Cricetulus griseus: one gene and its partners. The protein of the gene in region 7 purifies or fractionates together with the protein of the main gene of each other region. This does not show direct contact. Links are inferred from orthologs where the notes say so. Each region holds a gene or a part of one and is shown on either strand. Other genes may lie near its edges. The genes, in order: Cdc37, Akap11, Akap7, Akap5, Palm2akap2, Vapa and Prkaca.

Evidence for each region.
Region 1: the proteins of Prkaca (region 7) and Cdc37 purify together in Homo sapiens (affinity purification with mass spectrometry; 3 studies listed by BioGRID, with this or other methods). This does not show direct contact. The link is inferred for Cricetulus griseus from reciprocal best matches to the Homo sapiens genes PRKACA and CDC37.
Region 2: the proteins of Prkaca (region 7) and Akap11 purify together in Homo sapiens (affinity purification with mass spectrometry; 5 studies listed by BioGRID and IntAct, with this or other methods). This does not show direct contact. The link is inferred for Cricetulus griseus from reciprocal best matches to the Homo sapiens genes PRKACA and AKAP11.
Region 3: the proteins of Prkaca (region 7) and Akap7 purify together in Homo sapiens (affinity purification with mass spectrometry; 4 studies listed by BioGRID and IntAct, with this or other methods). This does not show direct contact. The link is inferred for Cricetulus griseus from reciprocal best matches to the Homo sapiens genes PRKACA and AKAP7.
Region 4: the proteins of Prkaca (region 7) and Akap5 purify together in Homo sapiens (affinity purification with mass spectrometry; 6 studies listed by BioGRID and IntAct, with this or other methods). This does not show direct contact. The link is inferred for Cricetulus griseus from reciprocal best matches to the Homo sapiens genes PRKACA and AKAP5.
Region 5: the proteins of Prkaca (region 7) and Palm2akap2 purify together in Homo sapiens (affinity purification with mass spectrometry; 5 studies listed by BioGRID and IntAct, with this or other methods). This does not show direct contact. The link is inferred for Cricetulus griseus from reciprocal best matches to the Homo sapiens genes PRKACA and PALM2AKAP2.
Region 6: the proteins of Prkaca (region 7) and Vapa purify together in Homo sapiens (affinity purification with mass spectrometry; 4 studies listed by BioGRID and IntAct, with this or other methods). This does not show direct contact. The link is inferred for Cricetulus griseus from reciprocal best matches to the Homo sapiens genes PRKACA and VAPA.

The regions. Positions count from the first base shown.
Region 1 is NC_048597.1:133,999,571-134,003,573, forward strand, and holds part of Cdc37 (hsp90 co-chaperone Cdc37), read right to left. Parts: intron 2,994-4,003; coding exon 2,715-2,993; intron 2,436-2,714; coding exon 2,180-2,435; intron 2,097-2,179; coding exon 1,981-2,096; intron 1,904-1,980; coding exon 1,781-1,903; intron 978-1,780; coding exon 795-977; intron 691-794; coding exon 619-690; intron 1-618. UniProt on the Homo sapiens protein: Co-chaperone that binds to numerous kinases and promotes their interaction with the Hsp90 complex, resulting in stabilization and promotion of their activity. Inhibits HSP90AA1 ATPase activity.
Region 2 is NW_023276807.1:232,866,010-232,870,012, forward strand, and holds part of Akap11 (A-kinase anchor protein 11), read right to left. Parts: coding exon 3,117-4,003; intron 2,969-3,116; coding exon of another isoform or gene 2,956-2,968; exon of another isoform or gene 1,575-2,955; intron 457-1,574; coding exon 301-456; intron 1-300. UniProt on the Homo sapiens protein: Binds to type II regulatory subunits of protein kinase A and anchors/targets them.
Region 3 is NC_048595.1:244,336,691-244,339,539, forward strand, and holds the end of Akap7 (A-kinase anchoring protein 7), read right to left. Parts: intron 1,784-2,849; coding exon 1,587-1,783; 3' UTR 938-1,586; downstream 1-937. UniProt on the Homo sapiens protein: Probably targets cAMP-dependent protein kinase (PKA) to the cellular membrane or cytoskeletal structures.
Region 4 is NC_048598.1:127,161,711-127,166,374, forward strand, and holds the start of Akap5 (A-kinase anchor protein 5), read right to left. Parts: upstream 3,118-4,664; 5' UTR 2,913-3,117; coding exon 864-2,912; 3' UTR 1-863. UniProt on the Homo sapiens protein: Multivalent scaffold protein that anchors the cAMP-dependent protein kinase/PKA to cytoskeletal and/or organelle-associated proteins, targeting the signal carried by cAMP to specific intracellular effectors.
Region 5 is NC_048595.1:86,145,602-86,149,604, forward strand, and holds part of Palm2akap2 (A-kinase anchor protein 2), read right to left. Parts: intron 2,127-4,003; coding exon 1,434-2,126; intron 1-1,433. UniProt on the Homo sapiens protein: Binds to regulatory subunit (RII) of protein kinase A. May be involved in establishing polarity in signaling systems or in integrating PKA-RII isoforms with downstream effectors to capture, amplify and focus diffuse, trans-cellular signals carried by cAMP.
Region 6 is NC_048595.1:454,549,920-454,553,922, forward strand, and holds part of Vapa (vesicle-associated membrane protein-associated protein A), read right to left. Parts: intron 1,885-4,003; coding exon 1,732-1,884; intron 539-1,731; coding exon 435-538; intron 1-434. UniProt on the Homo sapiens protein: Endoplasmic reticulum (ER)-anchored protein that mediates the formation of contact sites between the ER and endosomes via interaction with FFAT motif-containing proteins such as STARD3 or WDR44.
Region 7 is NC_048596.1:160,428,885-160,432,887, forward strand, and holds part of Prkaca (cAMP-dependent protein kinase catalytic subunit alpha), read right to left. Parts: intron 2,767-4,003; coding exon 2,684-2,766; intron 794-2,683; coding exon 667-793; intron 581-666; coding exon 485-580; intron 360-484; coding exon 237-359; intron 1-236.

The DNA of each region.
Region 1 (4,003 bases), on a different chromosome or scaffold from region 7:
GAGTGTGGTGACTGTAGGTATGTACCTGCCACTACTGGCTTTATGAGTGCTAGGGCTTGAACCAAGGGCATCCTGAATGCCAGGCAAATGTTTTTGTAGCCCCAGTCCTGACCAGCAAACTTTTTTTTTTTTTTTTTTTTTTTTTTTTAGACAGGGTTTCTCTGTGTAACAACCTTGGCTGTCCTGGAACTCACTTTGAAGACCAGATATCCACCTGCTTCTGCCTCCTCAGTGCTGGGATCAAAGCTGTGGGCCACCACCGCCTGGCACACCTCTCCTTTCTTAGAGAAGCCCAAGAGGGACACTAGTTTTGTTTTGTTATTTTGTGCTGCTGGGATGGAACCAGAGTCCCACACATACCAGGCAAGGACTCAACCACTGAGCTACACCCCATCTTCTTATTGCTATTTTGAGACAGGGTTTCACTGAGCTGCTCTGGCTCATCTTGAACTCATCCTGTCTAAGCTTGGCCTTGAACTTACAACACACTGCTCTTAGCCTCTTGAGATGACAGGTTAGCACCACCAGGCCCACCCAGAGGCCATTCCTTCCCGTCTGTTGCAGAACCTTGGGGACCATGTCTAGACACAGGCACCAGGGCCACATATGGGAACTCACAGTGGGATCCATCTTGCTGATGGCATCTTGCAGCATTTGCACGTCCTTCACATCAAAGCACTTCTGCAGTTCCTGGGGTACAGAGGGGTAGGGTGAGGACCTGGGCTAGTGGGTGTGGGGAGGTTGACAACATTCACAGATCACCCTCCTCCCTCCTGGGCTCTGGGGAGTCACACCTCAGGCAGGGACTCATAGACCTCCACGGGGTCCAGGCCACCAGGGCCCAGCCTCTTCTTGCGCTCCTCCTCCTCGTACTCCTTCATGGCCTTCTCTATGCGCAGCTTGGCACGGCCCCGCACACGCTCCTTAAAGGCCTCCAGTTCGTATTTGAAGCCCTCCATGTACTGTTGGTCGGCGGTCTGCAGAAGACGGTGGGCGCTATTCACTGGGCAGTTGACACCCAGGTCTTTAGGTGGTAAGGTCCCTGTCTGCAGCTTTTGGAAGCCTTCTGGGGCTCCCCAAGGCTTTTCCTGAACTTCCCACAGGCACCTCAAGGCTTGGCCTTGCTCTCTGTACTCAGTGCCCCTTGCTACTGTCTTGTGGGCCCATCTACTAATGGCCAACTGCCAGGCCCAGCTAAACAGCACAGGCCTGGTACTACACCTTCAGGTGTCTTCCAGCAAGGCCTTACAGGCACCTCAGTTCTGGATTGTTCCTGCCTGCCCCACTCTCAGGATCCCCGGCCTTTCAGAGGATCATATACCAGGAGCTCCAGCTCCAGGGATCTAACAGCCTCTTCTAGCCTCTGGAGACACTTGCTTGCACACAGACTCAGGCACACACACACCAACAATAAATAAATATGTAAAGTAAATTAAAAAAAAATCTTAAATAGTGTCAGCAAGGTGGTTCAGTGAGTGAAGTGTTTGCCACGCAAGGCCAACAGCATGTTTGATCACTAGAGCCCACACAAAGGTGGAAGGAGAGAATCAATTCCAAAGTTGTCCCCTGACCATGAGTCCACATACACACAAACCATACAAACATATATAACATACATACATGCATGCACACAATTTTAAAGATTAAAAAGAAATAAATAAGGCCATATTTGGCCACTGTAATCTCCGCACCACTCTGCGCCCTCCCAATAAAAGATCTAACCACAGGCCCCTAGTCTGTGTGTACACTGTGAGCTTTCTGGTGGTACAGGAGTCCATACCTTGATCTTGGTGAAGAACTGCCTGAAGCAGGCACGGGGATCGACCTTCAGACTCTTGGCCAGCTCCAGAATGAACTGCATCACCATGGTCTGGTGAGCTACCTGCTCCATCAGTGCACATTTCTGCCAGGACAAAGGTGGGGTGTCACCGAGAGGCAGTGTCTGGGAGTCTTTCTGAAGCTGGGCCAGGCTATACTCACCTCCTCCACTTCCAGGTCAATGCACCAGATAACCAGGTAGTTGGCGGTCTCCTCGCACACCAGGTGGACATTGTCTGACAGGTACTTCTGGCTGTCATCCCAGCGGTGGAGCATGCCTGCAGGGAAGGGTGTTGCAGAGGCTGTGGGAAGCCCTTTCCTGGCCTTGACTCCCAACTGCAGGCCCCGTGCAGGCACTTACCGAAATGCTTGATCTGTTTCTCGTACTTTTCAACGAAGGTCTTGTGTTTCTGCTCTCTTGCCTCCTCTGAGTCTTCCTCTGCCTTCTCAGGCTTGATATTGACTATGCTCTGTGACAGGGCGAGAGGGCAAGTGGGCTGGGGCAAGGCAGGGTTGCGCCTGGGGTGCGGGGGCCTTGGCCGCCGCGCCCATCCTGTCCACATCGGAGGCGGAGGCGTCGCTAAGTGCATCAAGGTGGCAGAGGCGTGGCCGCGGGCCTTCGGGCAGATCAGAGGGTATGGGTGGGCTTCATTGGTCTCTACCGGCCAATCCCACGATCAACCTGTCCCCCCCATAACTCTGCCGGCCTCTCCTTGTCAGAATGAGGAGACAGGTATGGACCCAGGGCCTTCATAGTTCACCGTCAGGTCCAGCCTCCACCACCAAAGCATGCGCATCCCACATCTGACCCTGCTCTGCAGCGCTCTCACCCACCCGCACCCCTGCAGTGCTCTGCTCTGCTCTGCTCTGCAGTGCTCCCGCCCGCCTGCGCCCACCTTGCTGAAGCCGTCCTTGCTGAGGGTGTCCACGTTCCAGGGCATGCTCTTCTCCTTCTTGCGCATGTCCTCCAGCTTCTGCTCCCAGCTTCGCTCCTCCTTGCGCAGCTGCTGTGCCTCAGCTCGCAGCCGCTCAAGCTCCACCTGGCCACCGCCTTCAGCCACTTCCAGCTCCCTCAGCTTGCGTTGGCATTCGGCTACCTTTCGCTTGCATTCACGGCAGCCCCGGTCCAGTTCGTCCTTCTCCTTCTGAAACTGCTCCATGCGCTCCACTCGGGCCTGTGGGCAAGGACAGCCAGCAGCTGGTCACTTGGTCCCTTGGGAGCCCGGCATGGTGGCACTCCCCTTTAGTCTCAGCACTTGGGAGGCACAGGCAGGTGGATCTTTGAGTTTGAGGCCAACCTGGTCTACAAAGAGTTCCAGGGTAGCCTAGGCTACACAGAGAAACCCCATCTCAAAATAAATAACAACAACAAAAGAAACAAGCCAGGCAGTGGTGGCGCACGCCTTTAGTCCCAGCACTGGGAGGCAGAGGCAGGCGGATCTCTGTGAGTTTGAGACCAGCCTGGTCTACAAGAGTTAGTTCCAGGACAGCCTCTAAAGCCACAGAGAAACCCTGTCTCGAAAAACAAAAACAACAAAAAACAAACAAACAAACAAACAAAAGAACAACTTAGTTCCTTGATCCCTGCCCAGCCACAGCCTTGGGGTTTCAATCCCTGCAACGGACATGACCCCAAGAGATGTGTACACCAAAGTCTAAGTCCTGCCCTCCCAACTTCCACCCTGCCTACCATGGAGGACTAGACATACTCTGGTTGGACAAACCCTGGGTCCTTGCTACAGTCCACATAGCTACGAGCTACTTGTTGGTGCCCCAATGCCACATTTTTACAGTTTTTCGTCTTACTAGCAACTGCTTCTCTGTGTAGCTGAGAACGAACCTGGGCCCCTGGTCCTCTACCTCCCCAGGACAGGAGCAAGGTAGAGCAACAGCAACTGGCCATGTGAGGGGAGTAGCTCAGCAGCAGTGGCCTTGTTCAGAATTTTAATTTTGAAAAAATAGGTTTAATCAATTTATTTATTTTTGTGTATATGCATGCTCACATGTATCGCAACAACACACAAAGAGGAAATGTGGGAGCCCACTGTGTGGGTGCCAGGGATGGAACTCAAGTTGTCGGGCTTGGTGGCAAGTGCCTTTACCCACTGAGCCACCTTGCTAGCCCTTGCTTACCATCTGAAGACATCTTAGGTTGCACCAGCACCATTAACAGAACCAAAGAAAA
Region 2 (4,003 bases), on a different chromosome or scaffold from region 7:
CATCTAGAAGCCAGGCACAGCAATACAAGCCTCAAGCCTATAATTGAGCCCAAGAGGCTGAGGGAGAAACTTAACTTCAAGACCAGCCTGAGCTACACCAGACGAACCATCCCCTCAAAAAGAATTAAAATAAATTCAAACAAAAAGGCACACTGGAATAATAAAAATAATGTTAGAAGTATGAGCAGATTGCCAGGTTGAGCATTTCAAATAATAATGTAATAATAATAATAATAATAATAATAATAATAATATAAATGAAATCCTTTATAACATAATTAATTATAAAATCAGAGTTACCTTTCACTGAGATGATGAAAACTGCTGCTTTCATCTTGATGGTCATCCTCAAAACTTAAGTTGGACCAGCTACCAGTACTGTCCTCACCAACACTCAGATTCAGCTGCTGGCTGCCAAGTGATTCAGTTGACTGAAAATCTTCTATTTCTTTTGGACTAAGAAAATAGCACATGGTGGTAATTTTAAAAATAATTGAAGCATCACAGGAAATAAAATGATCCCATGAACACTTCACTGTATCTGCAAATAATGAGACTGAAGAACAGCACAGCAAGAACCACATCTGCTACGTGGAGATGTCCTTATGTATTGTTTATCTACACTCTATCTAAAGAAAGCATGCCTTCCTACAAGGTCTACACATCAGTGGCCCTGTAAAAATATAGCACCTTTATTTGCATCTGAAGGAGCCTCCTTCTGGCAGTTTGAAATTCTAGTGGTGTCAACCAAACCTACATTCAAACTAGACAAATCTCTTCAAACATGAATCAGAAACATCTTTCTTAGCAGGAAATGATGGCACAGGCCTTTAATCCCAGCACTTGGGAAGTAGAGACAACGGATCTCTGTGAGTTCAAGGCCAGCCTGGTCTACATAGTTCTAAGAGAGCCCAGGCTTATCCTTAAAAAAAAAATAATTCTTGTATTTCTTTGGTTGTGAGCCTTGCCTTTAACAGCCAAGCCATCCCTCCAGCCCAATTCTTTTATTATTTTTTAATGAAGGGACATTTATATCTTTATGACACAGTCAAAAAATAAAGCTCATTTAAAGCAACTATACTACTTGGCCCATCTGTATGTATGTATAAGTATACATGTACATACATATACATACATGTACACTATTTCAACATATTTCTAAACAGTGATGCTCTAAGCATGAAGAGAAAAAACTATCAGTTTTTGGATCAAAGCCTTCCTTTGGCTTCAAAGCAATCATGATGTATAGGCCCCTCATATTGCCCACTTTCTCACCTACACTCCCCAAGTCACTCAACAGCAACACAAGCTCTCTGTGTCACACACATGCATTCCCACCCCTCTGCCTGGATCCCAGCACCTCCAGATTCCCAATCATTTATTCTATCTTCACTTTTGGTTCTTGGCTTAAGTGTTACTCCATTAGTTTTGTTTCTCTGCTATCCAATTCAAAAATGCAAGCCAGCCCCAACAGTTCTTGCTCACCTCTGCTAACAATACTCCCTTTTTTAAAATTATTTCTTTTAAATTATAATTACATCACTCTCCTCTTCCCCTTTTCTCCCTCTAACCCCTCCCATATAACCCCCCTTGTTCTCTTTAAAATTCATGACCATTTTTTTCATTTATTGTTGTCACATACATATGTATATGGAAAGACATATATATTCCTAAATACAGAAATTCAGCCTGCTTAGGCTTACATACTATTGCTGTATATTTCAGGGATGACATTTAGTACTGGACAAGCACTTGGTGTGCTCTTCCCTAGGAAGCCTGTGTCCCCCACTCCCAGAGTTCACGCAGTTGTCTGTGTAGGGCTGAGGTCTCATAGGCTTTTGTGTGTCCACATTAGCATGTCCCCTGTTGTCCTGTTCAGCTCATGTATCTGCTGTTTGTCTTATTCTACTATAATATTAAGCTCTTGGAGAACACACATTTTTTTTTTTTTTTGCCTGTTTCCATTTCTTTTATATCCCTAAAACCTAAAATCAGCCCTGAGCTGCCCCTGCCCTCCCCACTTTTTAGGCAATTCTCACTTTTTATTTAAGACATAACAACTCAGTTAAACTCGATATTCCAAACATAGTCATCCTATGCCACAACTTTATTTTTATTTAACATTTACCTACCAATTCTTTTTCTTTCTTTTTTTTTTTTTTTTTAAAGAAAATGGTCCACAGGAGGGGGTTAAAAGGAGGGTTTGTAATGATTGCTAGGTAACTGGGCTCACAGTAATTGAAAATAAAGTCTAGATATATTATGTTCTAAAACTCCTCTACAGTATGCTTTCCTATTTGATATTCATATAGCACCCGGGTGAGCATTATGGGTTTGTTACATTCTACTATATATTCTACTAGTATGATTACTTGCATTAATCATACATTTATGAGAAAAGCGACATTAGTGAAACCATTCAGTTAATATCTTAGCAAATAATCTATTTGAGTCAATCATTCTTCAACCTTAAATCATGTTAACTTTACAAAATGTGAAGCAGAACTCCATATAACTGCATGGACTTTGAACTGTACTTAGGGAAGACTGGCACAAATGCTATAAGAGACACAGGAACAGAAGTACAAAGGAAGAGTCTGTGAAAAAATCAGCCTGGATAAACCACAAACTTACAGGAAGAACTCAAGGCTTATTATCGACCAGGTCTAAAGAAGAAAATGAATATTCTGAAGAATGAATAGCAAAGTTATTTGCTAGGTCCTAGACTGTGGGCTTAGGAACTTCCACCTAGGCTCCTCTGAAGATGTTATCATAGGGGAGAAAGAATAAAAATAGTCCAAGACTACATATACAAAGCTGCTTCAACCACAGAACAGACTTTAATCTCAGAGTAGTCAATATTACTAGTTTAAAATCTGTGAATAAAGTTCACCAGTTTCTTTAATTTTACCTGTGTCTTAGTTCTGTGAAATTGAGGTCACTGTTCTCTAACTCTCATCTTCCAGCCCTGTAAATGGATGATAATGTCCCTCAAAAGGGATTGGGAAACAAATATTTCATGTGAAAACCATGCACAGGATATGAAGCCATACACACAAAAAAAGTTAACTTTTCATTTTCATTTCACAAGATCCCAAAGAGAATTTGAAACGTACCTGCTAACAACATGCTCAGCATTTGTCACAGCTGATGTCATGATTTCTGTGGTAAGGCTCTCAGCAAAGCTAATGCCATCTTGTCCAATTCCACTATCGGCTGCCAGACTGGTATTGCTCAGCTCTCTCTCTGCTTTTTCAATAGCTTCAGCAACTATTTTCTCTGCAAGCACTGCCCTTTTATCAAGATTAACATGAATTTGAGGCACATCAAGATGAAAAATTCTCGATTTCTGGTGGATACTACCAAGTTTTGGATGTGAACCTGGCTTAGCACTAGCACATACACTCTGTTTTAAAGGGGGCTGGGAGGGACTTCTGGCACAACCATGGCGTTCCTTAAGGTCACAGTATCTACAAGTTCCATTCATGAGTGGTGACAATTTTTCGGCATAAGTGATTCTATCTGCTGATGCTGTGGTCTCTGGAATGTGGAAAACTGTAGGTCCTAAACTTAGCTCTAAAGTGTCATCCACTACTTTACTAGCATACTGTTCTAAAGCTTGAGCATTCTCTCCACGACTATGTCCACTTAAGGTGCCTGTATTCTGGCAGAATCCATGGTTTTGTAAAGGCTGATGAGACTTTGAAAATTCTGGTTCAATAATACCCTCACCCTTGTCAATACATCCAGATTTTTCACGAAGACAAGAATCTGTTGAGGGCTGTGGCAAGTCAACTGTAGGTGCTGTCAGCTGTTTCTTAACATCTCTTGTTATGATGCTAGCAAGAGAGGCTGAAAAGCTGTGCAGTTCAGAGAGTTCATTTCCACATGGATCCCGTGTCCTTTCACAAGGTTGGTAGTTACAAAGATGGCTGCCATTTCTTCTTCTTTGTCTTTTATCTACTTCCTGACAATGCTCTTTATTTGAGGTCAACAGTTCCTT
Region 3 (2,849 bases), on a different chromosome or scaffold from region 7:
GATGGCTCAGCCGTTAAAGGTTAGGCTCACAACCAAAAAATACAAAAGTGAACCAGTGCAAACTATACAAATGGGGAAGAACACAGTGCAGCTTGGGGCTCATCTTCAGAAAAGCAGAAAATAAAAACACTGAACATTTGTTCCCTAAAAAATGAAAAAGCAAACTACATTTTCATCAGTGAAAAATAATACATGTGGATATCATAAACATTCTTAACCAGTGACTGCAATGATTACATTTATAAGTGTTCATTCAAGTACGGATACTCAATAAGCATTCAAATTCTCATCAAATGTAACATAACGTGAGACTGGACGAGCCTGGCCAATGCTAGTAAGAAAGGGTCATATCAACAGGAGGCAGGCGGCCCTTAGAATACTGTTGTTGGTTTTGTCTTGTTGTATTTTTGTCTACAAAGGATTTTTCATAATCAACGTTCTTTGCTTTTTGTTTTTTATCTGCAAGGACCCATGGAACATCTCACAACAGCTAACTAAGAAGTTATATCTATAAAATGAGTCAACACCCAAACAAACATTCTAAAACTCAACTTTAGCTGATGATGATGATAAGGCAAAAATATGTTTTCTTTGGCAAGAAGTTGTTGATTCCTTACCAAATGTTGGTTTGTGGGCTTTGTAGAAACTGTAAGAACACTTTGGTTATTTACCAAAGGGCTATGTGCTGGACTGAGAGTTCATAAGGTTTTTACCATCATAAGCAGTGAAGAGCTACAGCAAAGTCACACTGAAGTCAGCATCATCGTGTGATTACCATCATTAAGAACTCTTCCTTCGAAAAGCTCCTTCCTAATCATGGCCTGAGTCTCAGGCTTTAGCAAAAGTTCCTTTATCTGTTTCACTTTGGACTTCAGCTCCATCCTTTCTCGGTGCAAAGCTTCATTAATTAAGTCTTGGATCCCAACTGGTTTCTTGCCTAAGGGGAAAAAATTATATAATACATTTAAAGTTCAAATATCAATGAAATACATCAAATATGGCACACTGACTTATCAAAATAAGGCTGAAAAACCTTTAAAATGTTACCCACATTTCATAGAAAAGATTGCGTTTTGCCAAAAATATATAATTTACATGAAACTTAATTTACTGCAAATAAAGATTATGGTAAGAGTACAGTGGGGACAAATGTGAAACATTGTGGACTCACTACACACATGATCATTTCAACAGTGACAAACTGAACTCAGTACTTGATAGCTGTGTGCAAGTTTTGGCCTCAGATAAAGTAGTCAGATGCTCTAAGCAATGTAAACGGCAGTATTCCTTCGGCGGCGAGTCCAGTCCCTCGGCCCGCGTGCCTTCCGGAGGTGCCCCCTCGCCCTTGTGCATGCTTGATGGTACATGAACTCGGGACTGTTCTTCTGTAGACTAATTTCTTCTGCTGGCCCCAGCACCCCACTCTCTTCTGTTGTGTCGCAGCCACGCCGACACATCAATCATCGATGTGGTAGGCGATCTCCGGGGCTCGAACAAGACCCTTAAATAGCACATTGCAAGTCAGGCTGCGACTTCGCAGAGGGGCCGGGATGCTTTTCACAGAGCAGCTGGAATAGGCTCCACTCTCACTTCCTGTTGTTATCACTGCCTTTGCCATTCTGATTGGCCTCTTCAGCTTTGCTGGAGTTCCCCTCCCCCGGCTGCTTTTTGTTCTGCGTTTCTTCCAAATACTGCTGGACAGCCTTGAGCACGGCGTTCTCCACCAGCCTCTTACTGAGCCTGACCAGTTCAGCATCCTCAGGCTCCCCTCGGTCCTTCTCACCTACATTCCACAAGAGAAGAGAGGTCACTGAGCTCATATTGCCATAGCAACGAGGCCACCAGGCCCAGCTAGTTCAGCTAGTTAAAAGAGCAAGTGTCCTTCACTCTGCCAAATGGGATCTATAAATCCAACGAGAGTGGGTTGCCTTTTCTTATGACATTTGTCCAAGCATGAGCCTGTCTGTTGCTGAAGACAGTCCATTAGACATGCCCTGGCCCGAAATGCTGTGGCCTACCCATTTCCATAGGGCTTTTGTGTTCCTCTACTGCTTGTGCCTACCACCTGAGGTCCCAGGCACATGAATTCACCAAGGAGATCTGATCTGCTGTTCCCTCTCCAATGCTAATTACCAGGGAATCAAGAGTCCCTTGTCATCTCATGACTTGTGATCATTCATTTTAAGATGCTTGGCATAGATACCGGTTTTCTCCAGCACTCACATCAAGGCAAATGCAGTAACCAATGCCAGCAGCAGCAGTTTAAAACAGGACTGCAAGGCCAGCGTTCTGTGTTTAAAAATCTCCTGATGGTAACTTCCTAGATGTGACTGTTTTATGATCCTTCTGCTCTCCTGCTGGTGATGATCCAGGTGTATGTAAAGTATTCACATTACTCTTTTGAAAAAGAGCTACTTCTCCCATGTTCTCATGCTATACATCCCACCCTGCCACTCTCCAAATTGGGGAAAAGTAAAGGGCATCTTCCACTAAGTCCACTCAGCACACTCCCTCCCTCCAATGATGTAGGTTGGAAATCAGATGGATGGTGCTGAAGAAGCCATCACACTGCACACAGTAAGATGAGCTCATTGTGGGACAATCACCCAAGGGCTCATGATGACAAAGCCAGTGCTACATCTGCATGTTCGGGTCTGGGACAGGAGGAAAACAGTGAGTGTAAGCAGGAAGAGAGATACTGTTTTCTATCCTCATCTATAACAGGGCTTGGAGCACAAAAGATGTGCCAGAGGTAATTGCTGGTCCCATACTGCCTTCAGAGCCCAGTTATTTGTCTACACCACACATGCAGGACCAATTCTGCTGATAACCACACCCAACCTGCCTAG
Region 4 (4,664 bases), on a different chromosome or scaffold from region 7:
TACAGGATCATGGTTAGACACAACAAAATACACTGGTGTTGAAAATCTATGCTTTAGCATGAATTCTGACTTTTTATTCAGTTGTATACATAGTTCATGTTTGGTGAAGAAGAAATATTTTCACAAGAATATTATGGTTTTCCTGGGCCTTTAGAAGTGGCTCTGTTAAGGGCATCCTTTGTTATCTAGGAAGTTTGCCTTCTGGATGAAAAATACTATTCCCTTCATTTATTTGTTTCTAACGTCTCATCAGATAGGTCCACACGGAGATGGGTATATACAGGTCTTCTGGGCAGAAGGAAGACGGGGAGAGAAGAAAAAGCACTCCCCTGTTTCCACGCTTACACACTTGTTAACTACTCGCCCGGCTGAAGAAACCTGTGAATGGCTTTGTAAGGAACCCGTGAGGGACAAAACACCAGCCCACCTGACTCACCATTAGAAATAACAGGAAAACATACTGTAAAAGAAAAGCAAAGGCAGTGTTCGCCTATATACAGGGTCGAACCATCAGGAAAGACCCAGACTTCACGACATTAGGGAACAGCAAGGAGCACACAGCACACCAAGTGTTCAATAAGTAGTCTTTCTCAACACACTGAACTCATCGTAGGTCATTCTGCACCTTCCTGCATGTCACTGCACCTTGTGATCTATGCTGACTCCCTCCAGTCCAGAAGTGACTGTGTTTCAATGAGTTTTATAAACTTCATTTTTTCTTGAGCACTTCTGGGCTGGAACTTCCCCTCTAAATTCCACAGATGACAAGCCTTTAATTTATTACTGAGAAAGAAGTGCCACAAATGTATAAAAGAACTCATCTTTGAGTTGTTTTCTTCCTTTCCCATGATCTGGAAATGAAGTCACTGTAACAGAGTATTTATTTTATTATCCTCAGACACCATTTCATTAACCAGCTGTTCTACAGACAACTGGATAGCATTGTTGACGAGAGAAGAGGCTGTTTCTATTAAGAGTGTCTCATATTGTTCTGAAGTTCTCCCTTCGAAATCACTATCATTAGCAAAAACCCCTACTTGCTCATTTTCCATTGAAATTAGGAATTGCTTGGGGACATTTTTAGATTTCTTAACATCAAATTCACTGATTTCAGTGTCAGTGATGATAATAGCAATTGGCTCCATTCTTTTGCTTTCTTCTGATCTGGGTTTCTCTGTATCGATTCCATTTTCTTTCAGATCTGGTGCCTGGCTCAGTGCAGCTTCCTCTGTCTGGCTCAGTTTACCTTCCACTACCTGGGCCACGGCGTCTTCCTTTGCCTGGGCCACGGCGTCTTCCTTTGCCTGGGCCACTGCAGTTTCCTCTGCCTGGGCCACGGTGGCTTCCTCTGCTTGGGCCAAGGCAACTTCCTCTGCCTGAGCCACTGAAGCTTCCTCTGTCTGGCTCAGTTTACCTTCCACTGCCTGGGCCACTGCAGTTTCCTCTGCCTGGGCCACAGTGGCTTCCTCTGCTTGGGCCAAGGCAACTTCCTCTGCCTGAGCCACTGAAGCTTCCTCTGCCTGGCTCAGTTTACCTTCCTCTGTCTGGGCCACAGTGGCCACAGCAGCTTCCTCTGCTTGGCTCAGTTTACCTTCCTCTGCCTGGGCCATGGTGGCTTCCTCTGCTTGGGCCAAGGCAACTTCCTCTGCCTGAGCCACTGAAGCTTCCTCTACCTGGGCCACGATGGCCACGGCAGCTTCCTCTGCCTGGCTCAGTTTACCTTTCTCTGTCTGGGCCATGGTGGCTTCCTCTGCTCGACTCAGTTTACCTTCCTCTGTCTGGGCCACGATGGCTTCCTCTGCTCGGGCCAAGGCAACTTCCTCTGCCTGAGCCACTGAAGCTTCCTCTGCCTGGCTCAGTTTACCTTCTTCTGTCTGGGCCATGGCAGCCATGGTACCTTCCTCTGCCTGGGCCATTGCACTCTTGTCTGCCTGGCTGACAGCAGCTTTTTCTGTCTGGCTCAATGTAGTTTCTTTGGCCTGGCCCAGCACAATTTCTCCGGATTTCTTTTCTTCAGCTGTACTCTTTCCACTTCTGTCATCTTTTCTACTTGGTGCACTTTCTTGAATGCCATCCCTGGGTTCTTCCACACTGCGTTGATAGGTGGTTGCTGGTGAGGCAGGAACATCAGAAGCCACTGGACGGGGGCTGTCTGTTTCTGAACTCCCGAGTGGACTTGCTTGCTGCGCTTGTACGCTTGGCTTTTCCTTAATCCCTTTAGTTTCCTTCTCCAGCACTGGAGTTCCCATCTGAATAGCAGAAGCCTCCTTTTCTAATTCCAGTTCTACAGAAATCACATTCTCTCTAGATGTGATGCTGTTGCTGACATGCGATTCTTGGGCCTCCTTACTGTCCACCAACCCACCTTCCTGTGGGCCCTGTATGGACTTAGCTTGGTCAGTTGACTGAGTCTGGGTTTTTGTCTCCAAATCCTCAGCCCCTCCTTGGACTCTGAGGTTGTAGTCTGAATCGTCTGTGAGTTTAGAATGATGACCTCTCTTTGCCCCTCTTGAGAATCTTATGCAAGGAATCTTGAGTCTGGATTTTGCCTTTTTCTTAGGAAGAGCCGAGTCCTCGGGCTGTACTTCAGCCTCAGATGGCTTCTGCTTCTCCGAAGACCCTGACCTTTTCCTGTGTGTGACAAGGCGTTTGATGGAGGCCCAGGCCCCTGCTGGCTGTGGCTGATCAGAAGCCCCAGCTTCTGGGGGATGCTTTTTTGTGGCCTCAGCAGTTTTGGAACCAGATTTAGGTTTCATCTTGTTTGCTTTCTTCCTTCTCTTGAAGCAAAGAGTGGCTGTTTTTCTCTGCTGCCTCTCTTCCTGAGGACTAACAGCTACTGGCCCCTTCTCATCCTTAGTTTCTATCTGAATCTCAGAAACTTTGGTCTCCATTTTTACACTACACTCTTTCATTCTCTGGGAAGTGTCTTCTCTCTTCCTCTTGAAGCCTTTTGTGACAAAAATATCACACCAAGTCCAATTTCTCCTGGGTGCCTGCCCTGCTTTCACTCCACAGTTGTTTCTATAGCTTTTTCAGGACATAACTGCCTTGTTTATCTGTTGCTTATGATTCTTCCTTTATTTTCCCCTTCGAATGAAAGCTCTTTCCTGGATAAAATTCGCCTTTATTCAAAGATCAACCTGATAAGAGAAAAAAGTGGGGTTATATTTCACCACGAGCCTATTATTTTTAATATAACTTACGTTATATGGGGCATATGCCCTGTGGTACATACCAAAACAACCATGGCTTCAAATTGAGGCTTGCTTTTGCCCTATCAAAAAAGCTTCCTGTGTGAACCCATTTTGTTCTATTATTTTTGTTAAAACTTTGTTTGTGGTCACTCTGCAAGAGTGCCCTGGTCCTTAGTTGACTTCTCCATGAATTTTATAGCCCCACATAAAAAGTTTAACAAGCAACAACAACAAAACAACAGACTGCAAGTGATAGGGCAGCGGGACTCCTTTCTCATCACCTTCAGTGAAGAACTATGGCATTGCTAAGGACCTGGGAGATGACTCAAGATTAATCAAGTCCAGCCCAATGACGAAATTGAGCTCCCCAGTGGGTAATGGGCTTGCAGAAAGCCTTAGGCTAGATGAGGTCCTAGCCAGAGTCAGAAGTACAAATTTTGACTCTCTGGTGTTCTTTCTATTGTAGCATACGGTTTCCGTTCTAAAATTGTACATTCCATCAAGGAGGTGCTACTTTCCATACAGACTCTCAGAAAAACCCAGCATTGCTCAGACTGTCGTTCTTCCATCTTAAAGTTGTTGTGTAACTTTGACATTTTCACCGAAGTGTCTGCTACTCACACTTTCCCACTATAACTGCACACAGCTGGAGGTTAGTGAGGTAATAGCCAACACTGGTTGTGCAACTCCTGGGTATGAGGCGGCGCTAAGCACTTTCTCATGCATCTCTAACCTGCACCACAGTATCCCAGAGTGAGGAGGTGGTGAGATCTCCATCTGCAGTTAAGCAGCCTGCCTAAGATTAAAGCTAGTCAGCCTTAGTGCTCAGGTTTAACCTGAGGTGCCTGCTTCTGAAGCCCACCTGCTTCTGAAGCTCGTGATCTGACTTCCATTTGAGGCTGGTTTTGGTGGTGCACCAGGCAACACCAGCATGTGGGAGGTGGAGGCAGGAGAACCAATCAAGGTCATCCACAGCCATATAGTGTATTTGAAGCCAGCACTGGTTACCTGAGACCCTGTCTCAAGAGAAAAGAATATGCAAAGCTAAGCTGTGGGTCTGGGTATATAGCTCAGGGATAGACCGTTGGCCTAGCCACAAGGTCTGAGATTTGATCCCCAGTACCACCAAAAAATAACGATCTACAGAATGGAATGGATTTTAGTTGGTAGACATCCTAAGTTAGGCAAATTATTCTGCTTGCATGGAAATTCTGTACTGTGCTTTCATTTGGGTGCATTCATATCAGCTTCTAATTCTCTGTAGGATTGGAACCCTGAAAAATCATTTTAAGATATAAGGAGTTTTTTTTTTTTTTTAAAGGTAGGTATTGCACGTTTCATGTTTCTACACAGAAACACAAAATTCTAGAATAATGACGGAACCCACACCATTTACAGTCTCTCCTCACACACCCTTTATAAGCACTAGAACCCAGTGTTAAGGTCCCCAAGCCTGAGTGAGCATTCCTT
Region 5 (4,003 bases), on a different chromosome or scaffold from region 7:
TGTGACAATCAGACCATGTGGAAATATTTATGATCTTTCTTTGTCTTTCAATGCTTTTCACATTGAAAAACCTTTGTCTGTCTATTTGATTTTTGTTGAGATGTGGTATCTCTGTGTAGCCCTGGCTATCCTGGAACTCACTCTGTAGAACAGGCTGGCCTTGAACTCACAGAGATCCACCTCATGTACCACCACTGCCCAATTTTTTTTTTTTTAAGAGTGGAGAAAACTATACATTGAGGTTACCCAAAACATCCTCTTACCCATGGGAATATGAAAACAAAATAAAAAGTAAAAAAAAGAAAAAAGCACAGATGTGAGACTAATCAGCTGGGCATGGGAAATGGACAGCTAATGCTTACAGCACCATCCTGGATTCAGTAGGGGTGTAATGACAGCCCCTATAGGTCAGAAAGACTGTTTTAAGAAATATGGTCACTGCAGAGAGACTTCTCAAAATGATCCACTTTTTGAAAATAGCTGAATTCAATCAGAAGATACCCATGAGAAAGAAAACAATATAAAAATTTACATTTTGGGAGAGCTTGGAAACAAGGCTTATGGGTTGGCGAGCACTACAGATGCTGAAAACAATGGTGGCCTGAGGTCCTTAGAAAGTCCTGTAGAAAGGGTTCATTGGGTAAGCCATAGAAAGAGAAAGCTGCTGACTGGCAGGTGATAGATGCGTCAGTCCCTACACTTTAGCTGGGCCAGGCGCTGGGTTCTTTGCTTTCCAGTCAACTTCGTATCCGTTTTAACAGAAGGAAAGTACAATACTGTAATTTGGAAGCGTATGTAAGGCAGCAAAGAAAACGTGTCACCCTAGAACAGCCAGGTTAAGATAGGTCCACTTTCGACTATGCTAGCAACCGGCTAGAGCTCACAGCATTTTGCTACACAAGATATATATAAAAAAAAAAACAAAGACCCACACAGCAAAAGAGGCAGGCGAGAAGCCAGGGGCATGGCAGTGTGTATGTTCTGTGTATGCGTGTCTATGTTAGAGGAACACACGCCAAAATGAAAACCCCCGGTGCCAACAACGGGTGTGAGTCCAGTCAAGTCAATTAAGGCTACTAGATAACCAGTTGCTATGAAGAGTCCACTCCAATCGAGCAGTACGGCACTGATTCACTCTTGAAGACACAAGGAAAGGTTTAGAGGAAAAAGTAAGTTCTTGGGGAGAAAAAAAAATGAAGCACACACATGCACGTTGTTTCCCAAGTGAGAAGGAAAGATGTGAGTGAGAGATCAAAGCAAATCCAACTGCGAGGCAAGGCAGGTGTTTGCTTCCAGTTCACAGTATCGCTGTTAGTGGTACAGTGAGGTCTATTTAAGAGGTGGAGAGTAGAGAGGCTGCCCGGAAGAAAGGGGAGGAGAAAGAAGTGGTCACATGACAACACAGCATTGACAGCGCTTTTTCTTTTGGGTACCTGGGGCCGGTTCTGTGGCCAGGCTCTCTTCCTTGCCTTCTGGGGATGAGGGTTCTGTGGTGTCTGACACGGGTCTCCCGGACACCAGCTCAGCTGCATTTCCATCGATCGTGGACACGTCCGTCACTGTCTTCTCTCTTAGCGACTTCTCATCGTCTTCATCGATTAGGACTAGTTCGGCCTTGATGGTTTCGTCATAGCCTAGCACCTTTTTAGTCTCCTCTTCATCTTCAATGTTTTGGTAGCCCATAAAAATCATGGTGACGGGTTGATCCAGGTTTGCCTCTGGCCCTTCCGTGCTGGAGGGCTGGGCCTGCTGCCCGGGGTTTCCCGAAGCGTGATCTTTCCTAGATTTTTGTACCATTTCTAACTTGGCTTCTTTGCAGAGCATGTGTTCCTTGGGATGGCCCAGGCTCCCATCTGCAACAACAGTCCTTTCAGACATGTGTCCCCTGAAGCTCGATTGTCCAGCCTTCTGAATTAGTTCTTCCACATCCTTTGCGCTTAATTTGTGGACTCCGTTTTCTACCACAGTGCCTCCTGAGTGCACCTCATACACTACTTTGGTACCATCATCATAGACTTTGACTCCTCTCTGATGGACCCCCTCTGGGCCAATGGTGGATGCAGAGAGAATCTTGGTCTCTCCTGTCTGTTTGTCTTTCTCCACATTAATTTCCATGGCGTATATAGCTTGAATGAAAACAAGAGAAAGGAAGTGCATGTTACAACAAAAAAAAGCCAGTGAATGGTTAATTGCCAAACAGACAGAAAAAAAAGTGGTCTGTGCCCTTTCTATTGTAACCATCAAGCATCCTGAGTGTTAGCATGTAGTGGGCAGTGTGGACAGAGGCGGTTGCGTGTGTTCTTCACACAGCAGCTTAATGCACTGGGAAGACAGATGCAAATAGTCACCACATCTTAATGGACCCAGACTTTTTAAGAGACCAGCTAAAATAAGAGACTTCGGATCTAACAGGGCAGAGTGATGGGAAGGCCAGAAACATGCAAGTGATCTTGACTGAGATCTGCCTAGGCTTATAGACAATGTCAAAGAGGCGCCTACCTTCCAGAAACTTAGTCATTTTTTCCAACTCTTTCATCAAATATGTGCCTATTTTTTTCCTCTACATTTTCTTGGGCCTGTTAATGGAGAAGGTGCCAAGTGTTTTGCAGGCAGGACGTAGCTGTCCTCCCCTACACTACAATTAGTTATTCTGCAGACACTGAAAGAATAGGAAAGCATACTCTGAGAGTAACCCAGTCATTGTCTGACCTCCAGCTGAAGCATAAAGTTACTGTATGACAACCCCAGGACAAACCCTTTGTAGGGAAGAAAGCATCTTTCAAATGCCTCAGCGACCACAGCAGCATATGGAATTCATATAGTCATTATAAAGGATTATTTTCATATCACATGTGAGGGAGAACAGCTGTGTCACTAAGCAAAAACAGAACCAGTGAGAGGACAGGTGGTCATGACATCTGTAACATAGGAACAGAGGATGGTGCCCTCAAAGGCCCTCTGTCCTCTCTCTCTCTCTCTCCCTCTGTTTTTCAACACAGGTTTTCTCTGTGTAACTCCGGTTGTCCTGGAACTCACTCTGTAGACCAGGCTGGCCTCAAACTACCTGCCTCTGCCCCCCTGAGTGCTGGGATTAAAGGCTCTCTCCACCAGCATTCTGTCCTCTCTTTTCCGAATAGTGTTAAGGCTCATGATTCTGTCCCATTGTATTTTCCCTCCCGTTGTCTTGTTTTTTGCTGTTCTGCTCCATGTTGTGATGGATGCTCACGGCCACGATACTCTTCTTTCCTTTTGCCTAGGCTAAGAAGAGTGTCACCCAAGGCACCAGACTCTCCAACCATCTCACATCCTGATGCTTATGTACCAGCTCTCCCCTGTCCTATAGCCTCTTGGGACACCCAACATTTGTGTCCATTCCCTCAGAGGCTCCCTGTGAAACACACGTTGTGGATGGAATGGGGTAGCAGGCCCACAGAGCCACCTGGCTGCAGGCACCCTTTACCTAGATGGTACCCAGATACGCTGGGCTCAGCAGCTTCAAAACCATTACAGCCTCTTCTCTCAACTCGTCCCTCATCTTGGTATGGTGACACTAGTACTACAGTTTCGATGCTTAGTCTGTAAGCCAGAAGCCTTGAATCATGTCTGATTCATCCCTTCTTTCTACTCTCCCACATCCAGTCACTGAGGGGATCTGCTTCAGGTTTTCCCATCCATCCCCTCATCATTATCTCTTTCCACAAGCCTCAGTCCAGACCCACTCAAGTCCCGAGGACTACACATATAGACGGGGCCAAAGGCAGGCCGGGGCCTGTTTTCTTTCATATGGCCAGGAGGAAGAATGGTTTCCTATACTTTTAAAAAGGTTGTATAAAAAGAAGGAAGTCATTTGGGAGATGGAGACAAGAGAATTTGGGATTCAAGGTCACTCTCCAATACACAGTGAGTTTGAGGCCAGCATGGGCTATCTGAGAACCTGTCTCAAAAAGAAAAAAGGAAAGAAGGAATGAAGGAGACAGAAGAAAGAGGAAAGAAAAGAGGAAGG
Region 6 (4,003 bases), on a different chromosome or scaffold from region 7:
CACAACAGTCTACCCACTCAACCTTTAGACGCTGCAGACCCTGCATCACCATCAATGAAAATGACACTGGCTCAAAAGGGAAAGGCAACTGCTGCCGACACTGACAACCTGAGTCCAACCCTAGGAACCCATATGCTAGACTGAAAGAACCAACGCCACCAAGCTGCCCTCGGACCCTCACATGCCCCCTCACACACCCAATAAAACAAATAAAACTATCATGAAAAGAATGGGCAATGTCATTAGCAATACACATTTCTAAATGGTATCTAAGAAAACAGTATTTCAAGACTTTTCCATTCTTTAAATTTTGTTCCAAACAGACTTACAGGTATTTAATTTTTGGCAAGGAAATCAGGATTGTTCAGAGCTAAACAAACCCAAAGTTTAAATCTCCATATCCAAATAATTTATGTACTTCTACACTTACTTACCACAGCTTCCATATCTGAAATATTTGGTGGAGCAAAAATTGTCTGTACCATGAACTTATGTTTACTCTTTTCATTTGGATCATAATCAAATGGCTGTAGCATTACTAAAGAAAAAGAAAAGACACATTATCTTTGACATTTTATCTCCTACTACCCAGTAACACATAAATTTAAGGAAAATAAAGATAGGTTCAAACACTCAAATATACCATTTGTACTCAAGATACACAACCAACTTTGTAACTTTCAATTATTAAGTTCACTTTTGTGATATTTTAATATAGACACTGAGGCACTGTTCTAGTGTAACTCATTTTTCTTTTTTCTTTTCTTTCTTTCTTTTTTTTTTTTTTTTTTTTTTTTTTTTTTTGGTTTTTCGAGACAGGGTTTCTCTGTGTAGCTTTGGAGCCTATCCTGGCACTCGCTCTGGAGACAAGGCTGGCCTCGAACTCACAGAGATCCGCCTGCCTCTGCCTCCCGAGTGCTGGGATTAAAGGCGTGCACCACCAACACCCGGCTGTAACTCATTTTTCTAAACTGGATTTTAAACAATTATTCAGAGTGTATTCATTTGTTTAGATTTAATTTGAAGAAAACAAAGGAAATCATAATTTAATGTTTAGACTTTATTCCCCCATATCATTCATGTTTTATGTCTTTATATCTGACTAGCCTACAGAAGTTTCGAGGCTCTGAGTTCAATCTGCATGTTAAACCTATGTGATACAAATCCAAGACAGATAATAAACAATAAATTAGTTATTACTAAGACTGCATATGGCGTCTTTGCAGCAGTTGGATTCTATTTCTAAATATTCCCAATGGGCCTTATATAATTTGAGACCTTAAAATTTTCAGAGTATTATCAGGAATCACTGGGATTTTAATACATTCATTTCTCTGCCATGCTCCCCAAACTGATCCCCATGATCTGACATGACAAATAGATTCTCTCTCCATGTGTTTTCCTGCTCCCTTTGTAATTAACAAAAGCAGGAGTTGAGAACTATTGCTTTTTTAAAAAGAAAAAGAGTTACTGTTTTTTCAAAGATAAACTAGTAAGAACACAGAATATGGTGGTGAGCTATAGAAGATATGATGTTCCAAATTGACAATAATTAATCACACACCTACATACAAAACAAGAGGGATAAAGCTTCAATAAATGTTTGTAATGGCAAGATACCCAATGAAAGCCTTTAAACAAAAACTGAAGCCAAATATAAACAGATGAAAACACTATTAAATAAAAGTCATGAAATGTCAATATTCAAAACTGCAAAAGTCTAGCAGCTACCTGAAACAGTCACAGTTGACCCTGGGTCAATAATTCCACTGTTGGGCCTCACACAGTACCGGCGAGGTGCTGTGGTCTTCACCTTAAAACACACTTTTCTATCCGATGGATTTCGCAATTTAAGATTTGTAGTGACTACATCTGTGAAGGGGCCTGTAAGGTTAAAAGAGACAGACAGACAATTAAAACTGGAGTCACATCAAAAGCAGAATTCAAGATTAAATTAATAAGAATTGTCTCTATCCATCTTTTGATAAATTCAACCATATGATTTTAGTTTTTTAATTCTGATTAAGTTTATGTGTTGTACATGCCACAGAGCTTTATGGCGATCAGAAGGCATTTGGGGATGGGTGCTCTCCTCCCATTAGGTGGGTACCAGAAACCGAACTTGGGCCCTCAGGCTTGGCAAAAAGCATCTCCATCCAGAGCCACCATGTTAACCGCATTCTATTCTTACAGTGTTCTTGCCACACAAGTGACAGAATTCCCCAGGGGTCTTCACATTCCCAAGGCCAACTGTAAAGTTTCTATGCCCAAACGCACTAAAAGCTGACAGTACTTAAGCTTTTCCCAATACCTGTTGAGTACTTATAAATACAACAATGTGTCAGACCCGCTATCTAGATACAAAGCTGTTGTCTTACAGCTGTGGTTCTGTACTCAACAAAAAGACAAGGACAGAACTCAAACATCGGATCCAGCTCTACTTAACCAGTACATCCTCATTGTTTTAAAGCAGGCTATGAGATGTGAAGATAGACCTATTTGCTTTTGTTTGAAAAACCAAGACTTTATACAATCTAGTTTACACAGCAAGAATTTCTTAAGAGAGAAGATTAAAAAAACACCTAAGAACATGTCAAATAGAAAACGATAAGCCTGTATCACTAATTACTCCAAAAATTTAAAAGGTCTTTTAAAAATCAATGTTATGCTTTTGTTTTTTCTTTGTCAAAGACAACTATGATAAAAGCCTATTTTTATGTGATCCTTGTTTCAGTTACTTACTGGTGTTTCGAGTATGTTTACATGGATTGAACATTAGCCTTCAGAGTGGCAGCAAGCCCTCTTAACCCTGGGTCACCACTGACCCTGTTTATTTAAATATTAAACATCATGCTGTTTTTAAAACTTTGGAATGTCATACTTTGAAATCCAGATTGAGAAAATTCTCCAGCCATGTCCAATAAAGTTTGATTGAATGTTGGGAAATTGTCTACGACAAAGGCTCCCAAGAAAAGCAAAATGAGTCACTATAGACTACAGTTGACACAAACAAACAGGTCTGCCTAATGCTTAACATGAAAAAGGAACTCCGTCACAAAGTGAGATGACTGAAAAAGAGGTAGGTCCAAGCTTTGAGAAGTCAAGTTTTATTCTCAAGTGCTTGTTTCATTCTAAGTTACTAGTGCATTCAGTAGACTATCTTATACCCTTTGTTGCTCCCCAATTGTTTATTTCTTTAAAAAGCAGATGATTTAACATCTCTACAATACAACTCACTAGAAATAAACATCTGAAAGGGATGAAGCAAGGCGTTCCCTCCTTGCTAGTCTCAATACCCACAAGTCATGGCGCAAGTCATGGCAGTAACTGTGAGCTTGAGTGTGGCAGGTGGGCTCTTTGGCTTGATCAGCCTGCATAGGATGTTAATAATAGATACATACTTTCAATCAACAAACTCCTAAAAACTTTATGTGCCTTTAATCCCAGCACTCAGGAGGCAGAGGCAGGTGGATCTCTTGTGAGTTCGAGGCCAGCCTGGTCCTCAGAGCAAGTGCCAGGATAGACTCCAAAGCTCCACAGAGAAACCCTGTCTCGAACCCCCCCCCCCAAAAAAAAGCAGAGATCAAATAATACATTAAAAGGACAAAGAATCTCCCCAAACAAAATGCTTAATTAGACATTTTCACCTTAGGAAAACAATGCCATAAATCCCATAAGAAGACACCTAAAGAGAGTAAACTGGGGGCTTTGTTCCACTGGCAAGCCTCAGGTTAAGTTCACCGCTGCTTCTTAGAAGGGACGGGTAAAGACTACTGATAACCATGAGCAAAATGGCCAAGCTTTATGGCTAACAAAGACTGCTGCTTGGTTCAAAGTAACATCTGGCCCACATTTTTAAGCCACAGAATTCTTTGAAAATCTGATGAAAGTTATAACCTACCCTGAAAGCATGCATGGACATCTATCCACCAACACTCAACACTAAATTCATAAAAGCTAAGACTATTATAGGAGCTGTTATGACCCCACTACCAGACAGACA
Region 7 (4,003 bases):
CCGACCCACCTTGCTGTGGATTCAGGGCAAGTGCTCTTTAGCTGAGCCATACACCCGTCTTTGATTTTTCTGAGTTTCACTGTTTAGCCCAGGCTATCCTGGAACTCTCTATGTGGCCCAGGCTGGCCTCAGGCTCCTGAGAGTTAGGACAGGGGTTGGTGACAGCACACTTAGGTGGGGAATGTGGAAGGCTGTTTTGGTTCCTTCAAGGACTGAGCTCCATACCCTGGCCTCACCTTCCCAGAGACGATTTTCTCGTAGATCTGGATAGGCTGGTCAGCGAAGAAGGGTGGGTAACCAGCAGCCATCTCGTAGATGAGGACTCCGAGAGCCCACCAGTCCACAGCCTTGTTGTAGCCCTAGAGCAAGATGGGGGGCCATTCGATGAAGCAAGAAGGTGAAGAGGAGATGATTCCTCAGGGGCAGGGTGGGCTAGTGAGGTGGAGCAGGCCTCAGGGGTGGGGCAGGCTGGTGAGGTGCCTACTTTGCTCAGGATAATCTCGGGGGCCAAGTACTCAGGGGTCCCACACAAGGTCCAAGTCCGGCCTTTCACACGCTTGGCAAAACCGAAGTCTGTCACCTGTAGGCACAAGAATAGGTAGTAGGTAGGAAGAAGGGCCGCAGGTGTCCATGTGCCCAGGAGCGCCCTCCCCCGGCCTCGGGCACCTGAATATAGCCCTGCTGGTCGATGAGAAGGTTCTCGGGCTTCAGGTCCCGGTAGATGAGGTCCAGGGAGTGCAGATACTCAAAGGTCAGGACGATCTGCGCCGCGTAGAAACGGGCATGGGGCTCGCTGGTGGGGACAAGCCAGGAGGGGATATGTGGGTGAACATGACCACAACCCCATGTGGTCTAGCAAGTGTGTCTGTGTGCCCACAGAGTAAGATACCCCATGTCTAGCTAATCAAAATGTAGATTCAAGGCTGGCCATGATGTCATGCACCAGTGGTCCCAGCTATATAGAAGGCTGAGGCCGGGGATTATGTCCCCAGGTTTCCAAAGACAGCCAGGGTAACATTCAGAGACCCAATCTCTAGTGCAAAAACTGGGGGGCCTGTCATGGTGGCACATATCTGTCACTATAACACTGAGAGGCAGAGGCAGAAGGACTGGCATATATCTAAGACCAACCACCATGAGTTCCAGGCTAGCCCAGTCTACTTAGTGAGACCTTGTGTCAAAAACAAAGCAAAACAGAAAGTCACACCTTCCCCTCATATTCTAAGCTGTACAATTCTATTCCAAACTCAGCTAAAACAAATTTGAGCTGGAAGGCTTAGAAGGGACAGGTGCTTTGCTGAGGAGCCAACCTATCCAAGAAAGCAGTTTAAAGGGATTTTGTCTGATAATCAGAGTTTTGGAAGAAAGTCACCAGGGTACATACAAGAATCAAAACAAAAACCACCCTGCCAGACATGATGGCATACACTTTGAATCCTAGCATTTCAGAGAACTATGAGTTCTAGGCCAGCCTGGTTGGTCTACATGGTAAGTTCTAGGCCAGCCAAAGTTACATAATGAGACCCTGTCTCAAACAAAACAAAACAAAAAAATAACCCCCAAAATACCTCACAGGGTCAACTACCAAAGACTACAGGTCTCATTTTTGTTTTGTTTTGTTAAGTCAAGCAAAACTAATGTTCACAAAACAAGGACAACTTTTAGAGAAACGCCAGGGGAGGTGAGCTGTGACTCTCAGCAGCTGCCCAAAGAAAAGTGAAGGAGAAGGGAAAGCCACTCTGGTTGAGTTACCAGCATGGAGGGCAGGCAGCCACATGACAGCAGACAGTCACATGGAAGGGAGGAGGACTTTAGAGAAAAAGGAAGCACAAGGTACCAGAAAAACTGTGCTCAGGGTCCGGCCAGCACCCTTGAGACAGACACAAAAATGAAAAGGGAAGGCTCTGCCTTTCTGACTCAGGCAGACCTCACCATGCGCAGGGAGACTTCGCTTTTGGATTCTGCTTTGAAGGTGTTTGCTTATATTTGAGACAGGGGCTGTTTATGCAGCCTAGGCTAGCCTCAAACTCCTGATCCTCCTGCCTCAGCACCCTCGGGGCTGGGACTAGAGGTGTGCACCACCATATTTGACAAGACGTTTGGATTTTAGTGTATACAAAATATATTTATATCTAGTTGTCAAGTAACACATATATTTGTATAAAATTTTAAACTACATAAAATTATCCATTAATTAAAAAAATTTTTTTTGCTAGGTGCAGTGGTGGCTTTCTGTGGTTCCTAGGAGAACTGAGTCAGCCTAGGATTTGAAGGCTAGCCTGAGCTACACAGTATGATCTCTCTCGCTCTCTTTTTTTTTCTTTTTGTGCTTAGCTATCTGAAACACCACAAATTGCTTAGCATAACAGGAACAAAACCCCACAGGGGCTGAGTGTGGTGACTACAGTCTATCACATCCAGCACTGAGAACCAGAGGTTCTTGAGCCAAAGACCAGCTTTGGCTATATAGCAACACCCTATCAATAAACAACACACACACACACACACAAACACACACACACACACACACACACACACACACACACACACACACACACACACGCACACTAAAAAACAAAACCCCACCAGAACTCAGAGACATCACTTTCCATTTCTAAGTAGACTGGACCCTCTATGTCCCTGGATGGTAGCCCTTGGGGTGGCAGGGATGGGGCTTGCTTACCTGAACCTTCCGATCCGCCGCAAGTGGGAGAACATCTCCCCACCAGGCACATACTCCATGACCATGTACAAGTTTGAGTTGTCCTGTGGGAGGCAAAGTGAGTCAAGGCCCTGTCTCCAGGCACTGGGCCCCAGCTGGAAACCTCAATGGCCTGCAATGGCAAGCAATGAAATCTTCCCAGTGGTCCATATTTCAAGCACCAGGAGCTGCATTTTCTCTGGGAGCAGGAAGAGGCAGTTACATCTCTCTTCCCACAAGGGGAGAAAGTGAGGACCTGGCCACAGGCCAGCCATAGTCCTGCAGTGGCTACTGTCTCAAGCTTCACCTTCACTATCTGCCAAACACGAAAGACGGAGACAGAATTTGCAGGACCCAAAACAAAAAAACGTGTGGGGCATGATAGCACACAGCTGGAGACTCTGCTGCTAGGGTGGGTGAGGACTTTGAGCCCAGCCTGGGTTGTAGAACAAGAAGAAAACATAAGTCTTGCTGAAAACAAAACAAGAAGTATTACAGGCTGCTGGAGAGGTAGTTCTGCTCTTCCAGGCTCACAACAAAAAGAACAAATGATTATTACAGGGCTGGGGATGCCGCTCAATTGTAGAATCCTTGGCTACCACATACAGAGCCTTGGGTTCTATGCCCAGCACCACAAGAAACAAAACAAAAACAGCAGGGAGTGATGACGCTCACGTGTGATCCCAGCACTCAGGGAGCAAAGGCAGGAGGATAGTGAGTTCTGAGCCAGCCTGGACTACACAGTGAGACCCTGTCTCAAAACAACAAAAATCATGTCGGGCATGGTGATACACACCTTTAATCCCAGTGCATGGGAGGCAGAGGCAGGCACATCTCCGAGTTCTAGGCCAACCAGGACTGTTACATAGGAAAACCCTGTCTTGAAAAAACAAAAACAAACAAACAAACAAACAACAACAAAAACTGGGGGCTGGAGAGATGGCTCAGAGGTTAAGAGCACTGCTTGCTCTAGCAGAGGTCCTGAGTTCAATTCCCAGCGACCACATGGTGGCTCACAACCATCTATAATGAGGCCTGGTGCCCTCTTCTGGCCTGCAGGCAGAACACTGTACACATAATAAATAAAAATAAATCTTAAAAAAAAAAAAAGAAAAAACAAAAGAACAATATCATGTATAGCTTCTGCTGGGGAACTTCTGGTTACTGCCTGTTCAAGAGGTGTTCCCACAGGTTCTTATGCAACTGCAAGAACTCTTATTTTATGATCTCACAACATGAGAGCTGTACTGAGTCCCATTTCACAGATCAGAAGAGCAAGGCTCAGTATGGCCAGTGCCTCTC